Canis lupus familiaris: one gene and its partner. The protein of the gene in region 1 purifies or fractionates together with the protein of each later gene. This does not show direct contact. Links are inferred from orthologs where the notes say so. Each region holds a gene or a part of one and is shown on either strand. Other genes may lie near its edges.

Region 1 (4,036 bases):
CAGAATCCTGGCTGTCACTCCTCAACAGTCCACAGCTCTCACCCAGGGAGGCAGCCTGGAACCGCGTTAGAAGTCTTTCCTAGAACAGCTTTCACAGAAACGACTCTGATTTCAGCTCAATCACACTGCGCATCTCTGATACTTAGCTACACAACTACAACAGCAAATAAAAGCACAACAGACCATGCGGGGAGGAAGCCACCCCGTGTGGCAGAGTCACCTGGGCACGGAGCCACCTGCCACAGGCGGCACCCGAGGGAGGGGGACCCCTGGGGGAGGGGGACACCCGGGGAGGGGGGCCCCAGGGGGAGGGGGACATCAGGGGGAGGGGGACACCTGGGGGAAGGACACCTGGGGGAGGGGGGACATCGGGGGAGGGGACACCCGGGGACACCAGGGGACGGGGTACACCAGGGGGCGGGGAGACACCCGGGAGAGGGACGCCCAGGGGGAGAGACACCCAGGGGACACTGGGGGAGAGGGACACCCGGGGGACACTGGGGGGAGGGGGACGCCCGGGGGAGGGACTACCCGGGGTACACTGAGGGAGGGGGACGCGGCGCGGAGCCGCACGTGCTCCCGGGACTCTGGACCCGGACGGACTGACAGCCCCCGCAGGCCACGCGTCCAGCGCCGGGAGCCCGGCCTCCACGGCGCCCTACGCGTACGGAACACGGCTGACGCGCTGCAGCGCCTCAATACGTCGACCCCCCGGAGGCCGCCCGCCCCCCGCCCCACCGCCGCGGACGCGCAGGACCCGGAGCCCTTCTTCCTCCCGATCCCGGGCCCGCCGCGCGCCGTGGGCCGACTCGCCACCACGTGCGGCCCCGGGCCCCGCCGCCCGAGCCCCGCCGCCCGGGCCCGCTCCCGCGTCACCTCCTCTGGCTCCGGCGCCGCCTCGGGCCCCCCCGGCCGCTTCCCGGGTCGAGCCCCCGTCGCCGCCGCCGCACCGCCCGCGCCCCGAGCGCCCGCCATGCTGCCCAGCCGGTCACGACCCGCACCGCCACTTCCGGCAGCGCGGGCCGCGTGGGGCTGGGGGCGGGGTCTGCGGGGGCGAGGGGCGGGGCCGGCCCCTCCCCTCCCGGCCTGACGGTGGGGCGGGGCCAGCACGCGCAGGCGCGCGGCGGTCGGAGACGGGGCGGGGCCGGCGTGCGCGCGCCAGGGTGACGCGAACGGGCGGCGCCGGCGGGAGCGCGCGCGTCGCAAGATGGCGGCGGCCATGCTAGGCCGCGGGGCCGTGTGTGCGCAGCGGGCGGCGGCGGCGGCGCTGCCCCGGCGACAGGCGCGGCGGCGGCGCTAGCCCGGCCCTCGGTCCCGTTTCGCGGTCGTCACTTCTGCCTCTCCCCGCCTTGCCCGGCATGGATCTGCCCGTGGGCCCCGGCGCGGCGGGGCCCAGCAACGTCCCGGCCTTCCTGACCAAGCTGTGGACCCTCGTGAGCGACCCGGACACCGACGCGCTTATCTGCTGGAGCCCGGTGAGGGGCCGGGGCGAGTACCCAGAGGGTGGGTGTGGGGCGGGGCCGGGGCCTGCGCTCGCTGTCGGCCGCTCCGCGCGCCGAGGGCCGCCGGCGGGGAGGGAGGCCTCTCAGGTCCTTCGCTCCCCGTCGGACCGTCGCGGAAGTGGGTCTGCCCGGAGAACAGAGCCCGGCCTCGCAGGCCACCGCCGTGCCCAGGGGACCCTCTCCGTTTTCTCAGATGAGTTCCAGGGCGGGATGGCCGGCGGCTCTTCGGAGAAAATTAGGACGCGGTGCGTGGACTGGAGGTCGTCGCTCTGGTGCGAAAGGGAGAGCCACGAAAACAGAAAGTAAAACGTCACAAAGTTCAGGTTGATCTCGAACCCATAGCCAGAGATACTGGAGCTGGGTCTCCCCGGAGCAGCTTTGTTTTTCATTCCTCATAGGGCGTCTTTATTCAGGTCCCTGTCTTCAGTTGCCTGGCAGCGGGCTTGTTTACAGGGTTTGGCCCTGCAAGACCGGACAGCTCCGGTTTTGCGGAGGTAAATTGGAGAGTGTGTCTGGAGTTGAAGATCAGAATCTGCTGTTCCCAGCCTGGCTGTGATGTCGTGTCCCGGGGAGGCCAGAGCCATACCCCGGGGCCGGCAAACGGGTGACCCCGAGAGAGGCCACACTGGTCACGCAGAGCCTCTGGGTGCCTCCAAATATGCTTGACCCCTCGAGGGCCAACATGCTGGGTTTCTGACTTTACTAAGCACTTCCCTTTCGTGCTCTGAAGCCATTAGGAATGAAGAAGTGTTCAGGTCGAAGCTAAGTCTTGGCTTGTCTGTTTGCCCGAGCTCTGCTCTGCCTAAAGATTGTCTGGGAATAGGGGATCCCTGGGTGGCTCAGCAGTTTGACATCTGCCTTCAGCCCAGGGCGTGACCCCGGGGTCCTGGGATCGAATCCCTTGTCGGGCTCCCTGCTTGGAGCCTGCTTCTCCCTCTGCCTCTGCCTCTGCCTTTCTCTCTCTCTGTGTCTCTCTTGAGTGAATAAACAAAATCTTAAAAAAAAAAAAGAAAAAAAGAGAGAGACGGGAAATAAAGAGACTAGGTATTATGCCATGTTCTTATTGGAGACACTGTTTCAGTGATACGCGTGTGGGCACTCTCCATTCCCCAGTGCACTACCTGTTTCCTACCTGATGAGAGGCAGCACCCTGAAGTGGGGAAGCATGCCATCCCCTCTTTCCAGACTTCGGATTTTTCTAACCAAAGGAAGTGACCACACATTTGTATCTTCCTTTATCTTCCTTCTTCCTCTTTTTCCTTCCTCTAACTTCAAGGAAACACTCTTAACCCAGATCCAGGAGGGGCATCAGAGATGCCCTGGGATAGTCCAAGCCTAATCCTACTATGGTGATTTATCCCACCTTCTAGGGTGCCCTTTAATCTGCTTGCTTTTTCTGATTTTTTTTTTTAAGTTTTTTTTTAGAAGATTTTTTATTTATTCACGAGAGACACACACACAGAGAGAGAGATGCAGAGACACAGGCAGAGGGAGAAGCAGGCTCCATGCCGGGAGCCTGATGTGGGACTCGATCCCCGGTCTCCAGGATCACACCTTGAGCTGCAGGCGGTGCTAAACCGCTGCGCCACCAGGGCTGCCCGCTTTTTCTGATTAAAGATTGTGAGGCATGTGGGTGAAGCGTCCCCAGCTTTCTCTCCAGGACCCACAGCCCGTATCCTGGGCAAGGCCTTTGAACAGGAATGATCAGGCTTGTGACAGCCTTTGCTTACAGTGGCTGCCTATGTGGGTTTGTCGAGGGGCAGGGGGATGGGGAACCAGCCTGAGCATGAGTACGTGAACCTTCCTGGTCTGTATGCAGGTCAGGCAAGACGTAGTGGTAGGGGCTGGCACTCACAATGAATACAGAAGCCAGACAGTAGCTCAGCAGTGGAAGGAAGCCCTTTCCAGGCCGGGTGGGGGGCTGCCGAGCTGCCTGGCTCAGAGACAGGAGATGGTCTGTACCTGTGGCCTTGATCAAAAAAGTCCACACAGTGTCTTCTGCAGAATTTTGGCCCAGAGTGTGACTCTCAGAGGCCTTGGGAAGCTCTGATGTCCTTGGTTTTGGTGCCCCCCACCCCCACCCTTTGTTTTGAAAGTTTTCTCACAGTTCTACCAAGAGAAACTCACCATGTTTGACCCAGGGGACAACAGGCAGTCAAAGGTGTGGTGGCTGACTCTCCAGGCTGAGTACAGTGGGGGATGGGGTCTAGCCCCAGAAACCCTCGCCAGTGGGGCCAGGTTGGGACAGCACTGAGCTTCCTTTGCCAAGCATGACGGACAGACCACAGGTCACTGCCCCGTACAGTTGTGTTGACCTACTGTCAAATCCTCCTACAGTTAAAGACGCACTGAATATGGAGTCTGAGGTGGATAAACAAGGGTCTTTAGAGATGCAGCTGCCCCCCACCCCCAGGTCCTGCGACCCTGCAGCTCCTGCTGCTGCAGGGAGTGAACTTGGCCACCGGGAACACAGCCTAAGGGTGTGCCACAGCTCTCCTGACCTACAGCCTGTGCTTGTTCCCCTTGCCTCCCAC
Region 2 (3,950 bases), on another chromosome or scaffold:
GCATTATAAACATACGGTTTAACATTAAAACTGTTGCTTTACTTATAGCGTGTAATTTACCATATCAGGATTCAGTGTCTTAACAGTGACATTTACTTTCCCTTTATTGCTCCCTCTGGCGGTGATTCTATTGTATCTCAATTAAAAAAAAAAACCGCTAAGAAAAACCATTCTTTCCCTTCATACCCCACTCTCTCCATGATGAAAACTTTTATCAATGTATATACCAAAATATCTATATAAAATCTGCCTTTTTTCTGACCATGGAACAAAAGTTTTTATGACCAACAGTGGGTATTTGGAGCTTTAAAAATTTAACATACCTGCTTTTTGGTAGGCGCTTAGATTTGGTATTTACAGAACACAGATCATTACACTAAACTATAAAATGCAGTAAAATGTTTGCTATAATCAAAAACCGTTAAACTTTAAATGCTCACTGCTAACTACTTAGTAGTTCTGTACAATTTACACTTCATTGAAGAAGAAACTCCCCCCTCAAAAACTCAGGTGTACTGGCCTTAAAGGCCATCTGGCAAACTACACAGCACAAATGTCTCTGATTTTACAAGTGTGTGTGTGGGAAACCTGGGCTGAAAAATTTTAAGCCCTATAAACCACCAAGCAAATACATCAACAGCCCTATATTTTCAGCTGTCATTAAAAGAAAAAATGGGTTGCTACACTTTCACATACCTAGGTTAAAAATTTTAAATATTCAGATACCACAACAAATTATAACGTCTAGAAGCAACTAAGTGAGTGTATAATACAAATCAGAGGTCAAATATGACTTTCCATACAACAGAAAATAATTATCAGCAAATAGTATTACAGCTAACTCCGTTGTGATTTCTTCCTCTATGCATGAAAATTTCCCCAACAGCTCAAAAAATAACGTGATAAGCATTCAATTAGACTTCCCTGCACAGTTCCCAAAATCGTGAAAAATTTTAAAGGTCAAAAAAACCTATCAAACTCCTAAAACACTCAAAAATAGCCCGTTAAACGATTATCTGACATTGGTACTTAAAAGTAACTTATTTAATTAGCGTAACTTGGTCTTTTACAACCCAAATTACGCATTTTTTAAAAGCTGCACATTTACAATAATTTTTACACATCACTAACAAAAGGCAAAATTCATTACTTACCTCATTTTTTTTCCAAACTTACCCGATGTCCACTATCGATTACAAACAAAGTTATTTTATAAGTGTGCTTAAGGTCAAAGAAAATACCCAATCAGGCCCCGTTCGCTCGAGACCTTATTCTTATCAATGTAATCATCAACCATCATAGCAAACATAGATGAGAAAAGCAAATGACAAAGTTCAAATACATGGTGGCCCAGTCGTTTCTCGTAACGAAGGACTGAGCCACGTTTTAACCAAACTAAAGGAAAAAAAAATCATTTTTCACTTTCCTCTTTCATTTCTACCTTATCGCCAGTACCTCTAGTCTTAGGTAGTAAAGATTTTCCCAGGAAAAGTACTATTTAAAAACATAAATAAATCCTACAATTCAAAAGGAAATCCTTCAGGAAAATAAATTGTGAAACCGACACCCTCCCCCAAACCTCCTTCCCCACGGCCACCCACAATCGGTACTCACTTAATGGCTCCCAATTTTTATTTTTAAAGTTTCCTGTGACTCAACTAGCTTTTTAACCACCACAGACCCAGATAAAACCGTTACTCAGGAAAAAAAAAAAAAAAAAAACAAAAAACAGGGGTTGGAAGACGAAATGTTGTCTTTGTGGTACGGCTCGACTTAAAACTGGGCCCGACACCATGGGTGGCTTTACCTCCTCTTAAACAGGGCGAACCAGCCCCGGGGAACCGACTCCCCCACCCGCCCGCTCTTCGGTGTGGCTTCTGAACGCAATGGCGCCATTTCATCGAGGGGAAGGGAAAGAGCCTCTAACGAGGTGCGCAGGACTTTTAAAGATCCAAGCTCACAAAACACTCGTAATCCACCTCGAAACGGCATGAAAGTGGCCCGAAAAGAAAGAAAAATAGTTAACCACTTTAATTCTTCGATAAAAGAAGCAAAGTAGCAGAATCCAGAGGTTGAAAAGAAAAACGCTGCGAGGAAGGAATGGAATGAAAATGGCGGCCGCCAAATCCGGTTCCCGGGAGAGGGGAGGGGGGGAGGGGAAGCTCCGCAGCCTCCCTCAGGAGGAGCCGAAGCCCGCCGAAAAGCTCAAAACGCGGGGAGGCCGGGCCCCCCAAATCAGCGTGCTTTCAAGAGGGAGTCAGAATTCCCGCCTCCGCGCCCCACTTTTCGCCGAAGAAGGGCTGCGTCCGCCATGTGGAAGTTCCCCATCCCCCACCCCCAGCAAAGGGAAATGGCGCCGGCAGGCTAAGGGTGGGGAAGACGCTGTTCAATCAGGCCCCGGCCAGCGAACCCTCTCCAAAAACATCCTGAGGCGAACCGCTTTGGAAGCGGCCCAATTTCACCGCCGCTCTCCGGCGGAGGCGGGCGGCCGACTTCCACCGAGGCGCCAACGGCCTCGCCATGCCCTTTTCAATAACTCATTGATTTCAAACCCGTTACCTCCATCGCGGACTCAGTCGCTTCAGCCCGATTTCCCGCAGCCGAGCGAGATGAGAGAGATCTCCGCGGACGAACACGAACCGGACTCGTCCTGGCGCTGTAGTGAGAACTGCCGCTGCTCGAGAAACAACACCGCTAAGAGCACCTCCACACGGGACCCGGCGCTGCTGCTACTGCCGCTAGTGCCGCTGCCGCCGCTTTTCTAGAACCTTCCCCCCGACTAACGCGTCTTCCCCTACGTCAGGCCGTTGCGTAAACGCCCTAACCGCCGCCAATGGCGGGAACGCTCTACGCCCTCCTTACGCCAGCTACGTACTCCTCCCCCCCGGCAGCCAGTAGCGGTGCTTGACGTCACTTGCGCAAGTGCCCTCCGTGAATCGCGGAAGGCTCGAGTGCTGCGTATTTTTCTTTCAGGGAATTGGAGCCAGCCCCCGCCTTAGCGCAGAGCAGGTGAGAAACGGTCGCGCAGTTTGAAATTAACGCTGCCGGGAGGAGCCTAACGCACGGCCCTAAAGTCCTGCCCCCCTCAACCCGGGGGGTGGTCCCTACTGTTAAGCCTCCGATAATCCGCGCCGCTCCCCGCCCCCGGGTCTCCCGCCAGAACAATCTTTGTAGCCTCCCTCCGGGGACTTTCCTCCCCTAACCGCCCCCCCCCCGCCCCCCGCGCTCAGGACTGACTCGGCCCCTTCCGGAAACACCCGAAGCGACTTCTAGTCAACACGTCGTACTTCACGCTCCGCCGAGCTGACCCTGGCCAACGTCCCGGGGAGTAGACCCCTTCGGTTCGGGAGAGGTCTCTGGAGAGGGTGGCGCGAGGCGGCCTCTCCCCTCAGCTCCCGGCTGCCCCCGCCAAGTTTGTCTTCCCTCCCTCACCCCTAGCGTTCCGAGGCACCCGCTTCTGGGGGCGAGGAAGTGGGCGGAGCCCGGTTTTGGCGCCAGGCGCTGCTGCTGCCAAACAGAAACGCCTCCGTCTAGAAGATCGGCCACCGTCCTCGCCTCTGCTTCCCTCTCCCTCCCCTCCGGGGACCACCAGGCGCCACGCCGCGAACGGTAAGTGCCGCGCCGCCGCCTCCCACCTGCCCCCGGGCTCGGGTTCCCGGCGGGCGCGGCGCGCGGCCCCTCCCCCCGCCGGGCGCGCGCGCCCGCCCGCCCCGCCCCGCCCCTCGCGGCCGCCCGGCGTGGGCGGTGCCACCACCGCCTCCCCTCCCCCCTCCCTCCAGCGGCTGCCCGTCGCGCAGCGCCCCAGCCCCCTCCCCCTCGGATGTGGCTGGAGCTTGAGGCGCGCAGGGCCGGAGACGCCGCAGACCCGGGACCCGGAGCAGCTCGGAGGCGGTGAAGTCGGTGGCTTTCTTTCTCTCTCTGTCCCCTCGGTGGCGGTGCTTAAAATACCA

Evidence for each region. The genes of interacting proteins can lie anywhere in the genome.
Region 2: the proteins of HSF1 (region 1) and HNRNPA2B1 purify together in Homo sapiens (affinity purification with mass spectrometry; 3 studies listed by BioGRID, with this or other methods). This does not show direct contact. The link is inferred for Canis lupus familiaris from reciprocal best matches to the Homo sapiens genes HSF1 and HNRNPA2B1.

Annotation. Positions count from the first base shown.
Region 1 is NC_049234.1:38,476,855-38,480,890, forward strand, and holds the start of HSF1 (heat shock factor protein 1), read left to right. Parts: upstream 1-1,231; 5' UTR 1,232-1,358; coding exon 1,359-1,475; intron 1,476-4,036. UniProt on the Homo sapiens protein: Functions as a stress-inducible and DNA-binding transcription factor that plays a central role in the transcriptional activation of the heat shock response (HSR), leading to the expression of a large class of molecular chaperones, heat shock proteins (HSPs), that protect cells from cellular insult damage.
Region 2 is NC_049235.1:39,597,809-39,601,758, forward strand, and holds the start of HNRNPA2B1 (heterogeneous nuclear ribonucleoproteins A2/B1), read right to left. Parts: upstream 2,801-3,950; 5' UTR 2,566-2,800; coding exon 2,560-2,565; intron 1-2,559. UniProt on the Homo sapiens protein: Heterogeneous nuclear ribonucleoprotein (hnRNP) that associates with nascent pre-mRNAs, packaging them into hnRNP particles.